3 linked regions of the Coturnix japonica genome follow. The protein of the gene in region 2 purifies or fractionates together with the protein of the main gene of each other region. This does not show direct contact. Links are inferred from orthologs where the notes say so. Each region holds a gene or a part of one and is shown on either strand. Other genes may lie near its edges. The genes, in order: BET1L, GOSR1 and BET1.

Region 1 (3,617 bases), on a different chromosome or scaffold from region 2:
ATGTCTTGGATCCTGCCACAAAGACAGGCTTTTACCTTGTGTATTTAGGGGCATCCCATGTGTTCCCACATATATACAGACATACCGCACCTTGTAAGGTCACCCTGTGTTCCCCTCCCAGCCCCAATTATACCCCACAGTCTCTCCCCACCCCAGTGATCGATGCCAATCCCATGTTGTCCCTGCAGCCCCCATGACGTGTCACATCATTCCATTCCCTTGGTGACATCCCCCTGCACTAGGGACATGCTGCACGCAGCCCATGTGTCACAGTTGAGGACAATAAATTAAATGCATGCAAGTTAAGCCTTGTCCCTGTGTTTGAATGCCTGGGGGTGGGAATGTATGGGGCCCTATGGGTTGGGTGCAGAGGAGCACTTGAACACCTGAGTTCCTGCTAGGTAGTAGGGGGATGAGGGCATACCCAGCCCAGGCACACGTTTATTGGGGTCATGCTGGATTAAGTCACACATTGATCATTCCAAAGTTTATAAATCATTACAGCCTAAACTTTGCAGCTTCCAAACCTCTGATTTATTAAACCTGTATTGATAACCATCTGGATTTGTCAGATATGCCAGGTATTAGTAATGGAGGTAAGACAAAAGTATCCCTTAAGAACTGGCTGCAAGACATGGATGAGACGAGAGATATAGGCATGAACATCAAAATCAGGTGATATGTGGAAATCCAGTTAGAATGGTCTTTGCAGGGCAGGCAGCTGCCAAGGAAAGGTGACAGATGTGATGCTGCAGGAGCTGAACAACAGTGGCATCACCCAGGGGCTGACTGAGCTCTTCCAGGTCTGGGTGCTGCAGGGTCTATATGTGCGGTGGGATGTGTCATCCAGAGCAGCCTGGTGGATGTGCTGTCAGTGAAATACTCATTTTACCTCCAAGACCAGCCAGAATGGTGACAAAACACTGGTTAAAAGTTATCTGGAATGTCTGTTGGGAAGTCCCAAGGATCCCAAAGCAGGGCAGATCTAGAAAGGCGCTGAACAAGTCTGTCAATCACATTGATTTAGTTCAGTAAAACTACGCAAGAACCAAGATCAAGTCCCAGCTTTGGACACAAGATAGTAGAGGATGAAGAAAACAACAACCAGTCCTACAGAAACAAAGCAGAGTAACTTGCGGTTCTCCCTCCCAGAGCGTGTCATGGTGCTGAATCGCTTCATGCTGCCGGTCAGCAGCCCAGTAGCACTCAGAAAATCCGAATCCTAGAGGAGAAACAAAGTGCAAAAAGCAGCATTTCAAACTGGAGAGGCAGCCCATGAGGAGGGTCCAGCTTCCTGCTTAAAGAACAACTGCAGCAGCTGCGCTGTAACTGCCTGTATCTCTGTACCTATCGTGTCTCTCTTATGAGGAACTTCCCTGCCTGCGCTCGTGGCAAAGGCACAGGTAAATACTGCATACCAAGTATCTCTACATAAAGCTAGCACCGTTAATGCCTGCCAGGGCAGGCTAAAAAGCACCAAAACCACGCAGTTTCTTTCCATTAGTTCTCTTTTTTTTCTTTCAGCATGGGGCAGCATACACTTGTAACACCACCAGGTGGCAGCAAACAAGTCTTAAAGCAATTCATTATCATTTCGACTCCACGTCTGTTTTCCTTTCTCATAAACTACCTCCCACTTTTTGCTCACGTTTCTCCTGAAATATCCCTAAATCTTCTCTAATAGAAGCACAATTGCGTGCTGATTCGGGGCTTCTCCTTTAAGATCTCTTGTCTTTACATCTCTCATTCCAACTCTCCACTCTTTTGATTTCTAGGCTGAACAAATATCCAGTTCAGATACTCCAAGGCCATACACTGCTATTAAGGTTCCAAGCTATTAAGCTTCCAAGCTCCCACCTTTGACCAAACTGGTCCCAACATTGAAATTCATGCTTTTTACCCTTCTTTTTTGGTTCCTTACCATGCTATCCAGGTAACGGTTCTGTTCATCAGCATCTTTATCAATATCCAGAGCCAGCTACACAGCATAAGAGAGGAAATTGACGTTAATGAACACCAAGACAACCTGGAACGCATCTAGGCCCACACTAGAGGATGTGGTGGAGGTTTGTTAAGCACAGCCACAAAACAAGGCCTCTCACTCACTGCAGTTTGGGGTTGTGGGAATCCTTTTGCTGTGGAAATAATCTGGGAAAGCTGGCAGAAACTTCCCTATGTTGGACATATGACAACAGCTGACGGACCAGCACTGCCTCCTACTGCTACACGTCAGCCATCGTATGCCCACAGCACTGAGGAAGCCCACACAACTGCGTTGTCCCTGAGACCCTGCAAGCGTCCATAGCAGCGCCAGCAACTCACCGACTTCAGCCTGGTGACTTTGCTGGCCAGGTTGTCTGTCATGCGCTTGTTCTCCACGTCCAGCATATCCTCCATAGCAACCGCATTCTGTCCTGAGGAGAAAAGAAACGCGTCTCATCATCCCGACTGGGGAGCATGGCACATCCCCAAGATGGCGGCGGGGTGCCCCAAGATGGCGGCGGGGCGCCCCCTTTAGCAGCCCCTCAGCGCGCCCCTCACTCCTTCCCCCTCACCTCGCCCCCAGTCCGCCATGGCGGCACACGGCGAAAGGCGGCTCCGCCCGGCAGGAGGAGCTCCGCCTCTGTAAAATGGCCGCTGGGCCTTCGCCTTCCCTGTTGGGTAGTGAGGAGCGGGGAGCTATTACGGGAAGCACCGTGATCTGCTGCGGTAATCCTCGGGTGGGGAGGGGGGGGTGTCCCAGCGCTGTGCTGGGAGGGCATGCATTAAACGTCGGAAAGCAAAGAGGAAAGAAGAGGATTAGAGGGGCAGAGAGGCTGTACGTGGTTCACCCGTCTGCTTTATGGACGCAGCAGTGAGCCGGCTCGCTTGATTTTTGTTTCTTTTTCCCCACCCCCTTTCTCACTGCCTCTCAGTTCTCAAGGATCGAGGTCCCTTTGCACCGCTGTTATCCAGGAGCTCTGGAAGCCTTTCCTCTCTGCTTCCCATCCTGCTGTAGCTGAGCTGTTGGTATCATGGAGCTCAGGACCGTAGTGGCCACGGTGGAAAGCGGGGAGCAAGACGCGGTCCTCAAGGTGCTTCAGATCTACAACCAGGAGGTGAGTGAGCATCACACCTCAGCCTGATGTCACCTGCTGCTGTCAGCAAGCCTGGAAGCAGGTTGGGCCGTGTTATGGGTTCACAGTGCTGCCCAGCTATCCCATCTCCTCTGAGCATCTGTCTCTGCATTATTGCCCTGGAGATGTCATAGACTGCTTTGTTTTGTTACTTGCAAGCTGCTTCTTAATGATGCTTTACTAGGAAGCAGCTAAGAAGCCTCCCTTTATCTTGTTTATGCTGGAAGAAAAGTACATGGGAAGGATTTTCTTTATTATCCAGATTGCAAGTTAAACCCGGTAGGGGAATAATCATGGGCATGAGGAGTAGGAGGAGCCTTGATGCTAGGCAAGGTTTGGAGGTAATAAAACTCACACCTAGGGAGGAGCTGCAGGTAGGATTGTTGTGATTTGTAAGCAAAAGACAATTAGGAGTTGGTGTGAATGGATGCTGGGATTGGATTAGGGTGCCTGATCTGAAAGCTGGCGCATGAAATAATGAGTGTAGAACATGAAAAAGAC
Region 2 (3,699 bases):
CTCGGGAATCAACACACGGGCTGTCAATGGGGCTGATGGGGCCGGCGGTTCCGTAGCCGTGTGAGTGCACCCCCTCTGTGCCACAGCGGTGCCCAGGAGCCCGGCTGTCCTTCTGTCTGTCCGTCCGTGGAAGCGTCCGCCCCACGCGCACTGTGCCTTCGCTGTACGTTGTCACGAGGGTCTCAAAGCGTCCTTCCCAGGGAGGTAAGGGCCGGCTCGGGGCCCTCGGGTCGTTTTTTACCTGTATTCCGATAACCTGTATAAAACTATTTTGATGTCTGCCCGCCTCCTCTCGTTCTTCGCCCTCCCGAGGTCGCCGGGGATGGGGACATCCAGGAGGGGAGTAAACTCTTGGAAAGGTCTGACAATAGTAGGACACGGGGAAATGGTTTGAAGTTAAAAGAGGGAAGATTTAGGTTGGATGTCAGGGGGAAGTTCTTCACTAGGAGAGTGGTGAGGGCCTGGAACAGGCTGCACAGGGAGGTTGTGGATGCCCCGTCCTTGGAGGTGTTCAAGGCCAGGTTGGACAGGGCCCTGAGCAACCTGATCTATGGGGTCTCTATGGGGATCTGTTGGGTCTATGGGGTCTCTATGGGGTCTCCTGGGCAACCTGATCTAGTAAAGGTGTATGTTTGGTGGCCCTGCCAGGCAGGGGGTTGGAACTCCATGATCCTTGAGGTCCCTTCCAACCCGGCTCATTCTGTGATTCTGTGACACTCGGTGCTCTGCGCCTCCCGGCCGCCAGGGGGCGCTGCGTTGGGAGGTCCGCCCGTCCCGTCGTACACCGCTCCAGCAGGGAGACGCTCTAGACAGGAGTTCTCGGCAGGCGGCGGCTGACGTTGGACAACAAAGATGGCGGCGGGGAGCAGCAACTACTGGGAAGGCGAGTGGGGTCGGGGCGAAGCTGGGCACGGAACGGGGCAGGGCGAGGCCTCGGCCGGGTCCCCTCTGCCCGCTCGCGGCCGCAGGGTGTGGTGGTCTCGTCAGCCGTGAGGCGCCGGTGTCCGGCTGAGCTCCGCGGCGGGGAGGCCCCTGTGGGGCGCGGCCTGTGGGGCCCTCAGCCCCCGTTGTCACCCGCCTCGGGGGGGGGCCGCCCCTTTCTGAGGGCCCTGTGTGTGACTCCCCCCGTTCCGTGCAGATCTCAGGAAGCAGGCGAGGCAGCTGGAGAACGAGCTGGACCTGAAGCTGGTTTCCTTCAGCAAGCTCTGCACCAGCAGCCGGGACGGGCGGCGCGACAGGTATAGGTACTAAGCCGTTTCTTTATGTTTTTATTCGCTCTTTGCAGAGTTTGCTTCGTTTGTGTGGTTTGCTTAATGCTGGTTCCCTCTGCCACCTGTGGCATTGCTTAAGGATCTTACTTTGTGCTGCTGGTGTTGGGCTGGGGAAACCTCTCTCAGGTGCCAGCATCGAGATGTGTGCCCCACCTGAGAGCACACACGGTGTGTGTTAAGTTGTGCTTAAACTTCAGTTTATACTTCATGGGATCAGCACAGCTTGGGTCAAAAGGGTCTTTAAGTTCCAGCCCTCCTGCTGTGACCAATGTCCCCACTGAATTGTGGGGAAGGTGCATGAAGGAAGGATGTGGCTTCCCTAGTGCACAGCTGCCTGCATCGTTTCCCAGTTCTCCTGCATTATGGTTCTCAGAGACTCAGTAAGTGCTTTGTACTCGGGCAGCTCAGCCTCACTCTACTCCGGTGGGTGGCTGTGCTGCTGGTGGGCCTGTGTAGGACTGGGCTGTGGTGAGTAGCCCAAGGAGAACACCAACAAAGTGGGGAAGTGAAGCAGTCAGTCTGTGGCAGTTCCTTCCCAAGGGGTGGCTGTTATTTCTGGTTTCCTTTAAGGTAAGTCGTAATAAGGAGAGCTGTATGTGTATGTTTGTACGTATATATATAACAGAATTTGTTGGAAGAAATTGCGTCTTTAGGCAGATTTGTATTTGACCAGAGGATTAATATGATAAAACTAACCAACAAGTTGTATGTTTTAGTAACTCACCTTCTTCCACAGCTCTGACACCACTCCTCTCTTAAATGGATCGAGCCAGGACAGAATGTTTGAGACGATGGCTGTGGAGATTGAGCAGCTTCTAGGAAAGGTAATGCACAAAATACCGTATATTTACATCAGCATTTTGAAGTATTACTGTACAGGTTTCTGTGATGAGTGTTTAGAAAGTAATAGCGTGGGTGGTAGAGAAGTGTTGCTTGCTGAAGGTGTGTATCTGATATAAGGGAAACCTCCTTCACCTTTCAGGTCATTTCAGGTTGGTTTTGTTTTTGTGTTGATTTTTTCTCCTCTTGCAGCTTACTGGAATAAATGACAAAATGGCAGAATATACAAATAGTGCAGGAGTTCCATCCCTGAATGCTGCACTGATGCACACATTACAGCGTCATAGAGACATCTTGCAGGTAACAAGCACGTGATCTTCTTGTTGTGTTTTATTACTTTGGGGTAATGATTAGAGTTATTAGCAGCTTGCTCAGACACACTCCAGTTGCCTGTTGGCTGGGAGGAGGCTCTATAAGTGTCTGATATGAAAGAAACAACAAAGCTAACTTACTGAAAATAAAGCCCTTTCCTCACATGTGCTGCAAGCACAGGGGCTGAAAACATCCTGACAAACAAACGTCTCCAAATGAGGTCAGGGTTTCAACAGCTTCATGCATACATTGTGATGTTAATGTAATGAGTTGGTCTTGGGCTTTTTGCTCTAGAGATGTGAACATTAGACTGAAATGGCAGGATTTGAGTGTCTTGCTTTGGTAACTCGATCTCAGGACTCTTAACTTTGGAGCGATTGTTTTATTACAGGATTATACTCACGAATTCCACAAAACCAAAGCGAACTTCTTGGCAATAAGAGAAAGGGAGAATCTGCTGGGATCAGTACGAAAAGATATTGAGTAAGTTGTGTGTTGCAGCAGCGGTGTGGGGCTGTGCCAGGAGGGAGAAGGCAGCACCTCCTGTATGAGTGTGCTTGGCTTGGGTTGATCCACTGCGCTCTGAGCAAAGTGAGAGTAGTTGCATGAGTTCACAGATTTACTGAGCTTCTGATTGAAGTATTTGCTGGTTTTGTTTGCTAATTTTAACCATGAAAATGTTTGTGAAAGTAACATTGTTAAGCACAAATCACTTATAAAATGTTTGAGCGTGACCAAAGCTTTTCTGGTTGGTCATTTCAGAGCAGTACAGCATGATGTTACATGGATCAGTAATGTCTATTGAGAAACCTCTGGAGAAAATGTTGTTCAATTTTTACTTCTTGCATTTAGGTCATATAAAAGTGGGTCTGGTGTGAATAACAGAAGAACAGAACTATTCCTGAAGGAACACGAGCACCTTCGGAAGTAGGTGTTACTTATTATTGCCTGGTAACTTGCATGTTTCCCTATGGTGGAGATTGCAGATTTTTCTGGGGGGGTAAAAATTCCAAGTGTGAATGAGAACTTTGTCTGTGATTTTTCCCTACCTCTAACAAATGTGTACAGAAGGCAATGGAAGAGCCTGGCTCCAAAATACTCATCAATCATCCCTATTAGACAAGGAAAACAGAGGGTGCTGCCTTTTTATTCTTGCTGCAGAGGACGTGAGGTTAGGAGAGGTTTAATTTGTGCATTCCCTGTGCAGCAGAAGCAGAGCACTGCTGGTGTTCTGTAGACCACTGGGATGCAGCACCCATCTTCATGCCTGTTCTTG
Region 3 (3,748 bases), on a different chromosome or scaffold from region 2:
TGGACTTGTGTCATTGCTAGCAAGCAAAGTCAACTGCAGGTCAGAATGAGGGAAATAGGAAATAAGTAGCATATAGAGATGCAGCAAATGCTGCAATTTATTGCTGCAGAAAGACAGGCACCAGCCAGACCTTCAGCTTACAGCAGATCCCCTATGAAGTAAGGACAAAGACTCTGCTGTCACAGTGCTTTCCCTTAGCCACAACCTGTACGTCTCTGTGGCACAGTCTCAACTCCATGATTTCTTACTGCTGCTACTGCTTTTCACCACCATCTATAAACAAGTCACAAGTCCACCCGTTTTAATTAAATTTAACTATAATTAAATACTTACTGATTTTATTGCACTGACTTTAGTGCGCAGACTTTCTGTTAACCTTTCATTTTCTTCTTCATACACACTGTACCCACTGTTAGTATAGCCATAGTTACCAGTTGGTGCTCCATCACCTGTAAGCAGAAAAGCCAGTAGTTACAGGTAGGAAATATCATTGGAGTAAGTGTTCTTCACTTGTGGGAAAACACTCTGCATTAAAAATGCATTTCCTTAACAGAAATCAGACAACTGGGCTGTACAGTACAGTACAGCCTAGACCTGAAATCAAAACTACTGATGCCATTGTTAACTAAGAATTATGCCATTTAATGGAGTCAGGGTTGTTCCTATTGTTTTCCTTTACAATTATATGTAACTACAGTACCTCCTACTAAGTAACAAGCAATTTTGAGTGCTTGTAAGTTAGTACTAATAGCAGGTGAGTTCTAACTAAATGGTCTGCAAGGTCCCTCACAACAAAAGCCATTCTGGGATTCTATTGTTCTAGAGAGGAAACAAGAAGATCTGTGTAGAGCCTGGCTACTGCTACATAAAGAAAGGCCAGAAACTCCTACACAGCACATCTACAAGCCGTCTTGCAACACCACTAATAGCCAGGATGTGCCCATAGACATAACCACAATATCATCTCAGGCTAAACAGGAGGTACTAGGTAGCTGGAGACAGAAGTAAACATACTGATGGGCAGTTTGTACTTCCAGCCCATGAAATAAAAAGGCTGGATTGACAGCCAACACACCAAGATAAATATCAGCAAATTTCACTGATAAGGGTCCTAAGAGATATCTAAATCATCTCTTCAACCTTTCAGCAGGTGTTTTAAGAAGTACCTTCTGGATGCCCCTTACAGCACTGATTGTAAGAGCTTTGCCAAGCAAAGGCCAGCTCCAGCTGCATTCCTTCCTTAGCAACCCATCCCCTCACTCCTTTAAAAGCATTAAAAGAAGGTTGGCCAGCAGGGTAAGGGAGGTGATTGTTTTTACTTTGCCTTCCTAAGGCTCCATTTGGAGAGCTGCATCTAGGCCTGGGGCTCCTGCTTCAGAGAAGATGTGGAATGTTTCAAACAGTCCAGAGGTGGGACACAGAAATATCAGAGGGCAGGGAGCACCACTCCTGTGAAGACAGGCTGAGGGAGCCAGGCTTGTTCAGCCTAGAGAAGAGAAGGCTGTGGGGAGACTTGATAGTGACCTTCCAGTACTTAAGGGCAGCTTATAAACAGGAGTGAAAACTTTTCATACTGGTAGATAGTGATAGGACAAGAAGGAATGGTTTTCAACTAAAAGAGGGGATGTTATGGTTATACATCAGGAAGAAGTTCTTTACTCATAGAGCGATGAGGCTGCTCAGATAAGCTGTGGGTGCCTCATCCCTTGTGGTGTTCAGGGCCAGGTTGGATGGAGTTCTGGGCAGACTGATCTAGTGGCTGGCAACCCTGCCCATTACAGGGCATTGGAACGAGACAGGCTTTGAGGTCTCTTCCAACCCAAGCCACTCTATGATAAGCAATATAAGGAGCAGGGCCTTCAGCTCTGGTTCACAAGAGTCAGCTGTGGGGCCTCAAGATCCTTCTGACTTTTCAGGTTTTGCTCCTCCAGCAAAGAAAAATAAAGCAAGATTTGAAGACCTGAGTACTACCAATGCCTACCTTTTCGCAACCAACATCCCAACACACCTCTGTTGATTTATTAAGGAGCATATCTAAGGTTTGGTTTTACTTTGTAGAAACACTATTGCATGCCACAAACAAGAAATGGAGAAATAAAGCTCGGGTAGCTCTACAACCATGCCTGGGTTGGCCACAAGGCATTCCTCAGCCTGGTGATTCAATGGAGGTGTTCACTCTCAGGACGAGGCTCTCAGCCACCCCCTCTCCACAGAGGGGATGCTGTACAGGGACACGACAGCACTTCCAGGTCCCAGAAAGCAACACACGAGGTCAAAGTTCCCTTCTAGTCATCAACGTGGCTGCGAGGTGAAGGGCCAGACCTGGCTCTCTGAGCACACCCAGCAGAGACCCCATCCTTTCCACCACTCTTATCAGGGGTAAACCGAAAGTGGAAGCCTTCTCAAAGCAAAAGCCTCAAACATAGCAGGAAAACATACAGAACATCCGCAATTAAATAAAACACGAATACAAACAAGACACCCTTCCCACCCAACCCCCGACCCACGCTCGTATCACATCAGCCTGATGACCCCGCGCAGCGCCACGGCCCACAGGCCTCTCGCCCCCCCCACGCAGGACGGCTCTTACCCAGCCCCGCTCGCCGCATGGCCGTGCCCGGAGCTGCCGAGGGAGGGCGGGGAGGAGGAGGGTGAGGAGCGGGGCGGTCGTGCCAGAGAAGCAAGAGCCGAGCTCAGCCCGCCCGCCGCTCCGCCAGCCGCCCCATTCACCGGCAGCGCCACGACAGCGCTGCGCCGCGCGGCCCGCTGGGAGCTACGGCGTATAGGGGCCGATGGGAAGTGTAGGCCTGCAGCTGAGCTGTGTGACGTTCATAGACAGCAATTCAGGGCTTCACTGCGAGCGTGGAAACGGTACCAATGTGATAAATGTTCCCTTTAGTGCACTGAGGAAATACAGTTTTCATGTGCTCATGAAGTGGTGCCGTCACCGTCCCTGGAGGTGTGTGCAGAGACCTTATGGCTGTGGCACTGAGGGTCAGTGGGCACTGAGTGTGGCTTGAGGTGATCTTAGAGGTCTTTCCCAGCCTTCATTGATTCTATGATAGTTTCTTCTGCTTGTTTTGTGGCTATGGCTGATCTTAGCATCCCCTCAGCAAGAATCACAGAATCACAGAATGACCCGGGTTGGAAGGGACCTCAAGGATCATGTAGTTCCAACCCCCCTGCCTGTCAGGGCCACCAAACATACACCTTTACTAGATCAGGTTGCCCATGGCCCTGAAGCCACATTGGTGCCTGATCAACATGCTTTTTTAATCAAAGGCAACAAAAAAAAAGTTCAGCTAAGGAATCTTATTAGTGTGGTAATAATAATGGCTGTGTTATCAGTGAATTGGTTAATTACTAACTGGATTGACATTGTTCTTACATGTTTGATAAACAGGTTTTCACAGTCAGCATGATTAACGCTCTACTTTCAACACTGACAGGCTGTGAAAACAACCTAGCAAGTTACACTCATCATCTGAGCGCTGAAAAGCTGATACAGCATTTTGTTAGTGCCAAATACTTCAATCACTGTTTTCTTAAGTGGTAAGCTGCAATTATTACTGTTTTTTTTTTAAATAAAGTAGTTGAAGTTTGATCCATTGCACAATTAACTAACAGCTGATGAGACATTTCTGAATAAAATGATTGCACTAAGCATGTAGAAACTAAACTAGATCACAAAATAATTAATATTCGGTGCCTGCAAAAAGGAATAAAGGACAACTTCCAGCATCTTTCA

What was found.
Region 1: the proteins of GOSR1 (region 2) and BET1L purify together in Homo sapiens (affinity purification with western blotting; 3 studies listed by BioGRID and IntAct, with this or other methods). This does not show direct contact. The link is inferred for Coturnix japonica from reciprocal best matches to the Homo sapiens genes GOSR1 and BET1L.
Region 3: the proteins of GOSR1 (region 2) and BET1 purify together in Homo sapiens (affinity purification with mass spectrometry; 3 studies listed by BioGRID and IntAct, with this or other methods). This does not show direct contact. The link is inferred for Coturnix japonica from reciprocal best matches to the Homo sapiens genes GOSR1 and BET1.

What each region holds. Positions count from the first base shown.
Region 1 is NC_029520.1:1,402,356-1,405,972, reverse strand, and holds BET1L (BET1-like protein), read right to left. Parts: upstream 2,699-3,617; 5' UTR 2,575-2,698; coding exon 2,556-2,574; intron 2,415-2,555; coding exon 2,323-2,414; intron 1,979-2,322; coding exon 1,922-1,978; intron 1,223-1,921; coding exon 1,055-1,222; 3' UTR 512-1,054; downstream 1-511. Other genes in the region: RIC8A (synembryn-A), read left to right, coding at 3,015-3,098. UniProt on the Homo sapiens protein: Vesicle SNARE required for targeting and fusion of retrograde transport vesicles with the Golgi complex. Required for the integrity of the Golgi complex.
Region 2 is NC_029534.1:5,040,328-5,044,026, forward strand, and holds the start of GOSR1 (Golgi SNAP receptor complex member 1), read left to right. Parts: upstream 1-756; 5' UTR 757-852; coding exon 853-883; intron 884-1,138; coding exon 1,139-1,244; intron 1,245-2,007; coding exon 2,008-2,095; intron 2,096-2,303; coding exon 2,304-2,411; intron 2,412-2,814; coding exon 2,815-2,906; intron 2,907-3,275; coding exon 3,276-3,350; intron 3,351-3,699. UniProt on the Homo sapiens protein: Involved in transport from the ER to the Golgi apparatus as well as in intra-Golgi transport. It belongs to a super-family of proteins called t-SNAREs or soluble NSF (N-ethylmaleimide-sensitive factor) attachment protein receptor.
Region 3 is NC_029517.1:21,336,923-21,340,670, forward strand, and holds the start of BET1 (BET1 homolog), read right to left. Parts: upstream 2,749-3,748; 5' UTR 2,610-2,748; coding exon 2,591-2,609; intron 450-2,590; coding exon 334-449; intron 1-333. UniProt on the Homo sapiens protein: Required for vesicular transport from the ER to the Golgi complex. Functions as a SNARE involved in the docking process of ER-derived vesicles with the cis-Golgi membrane.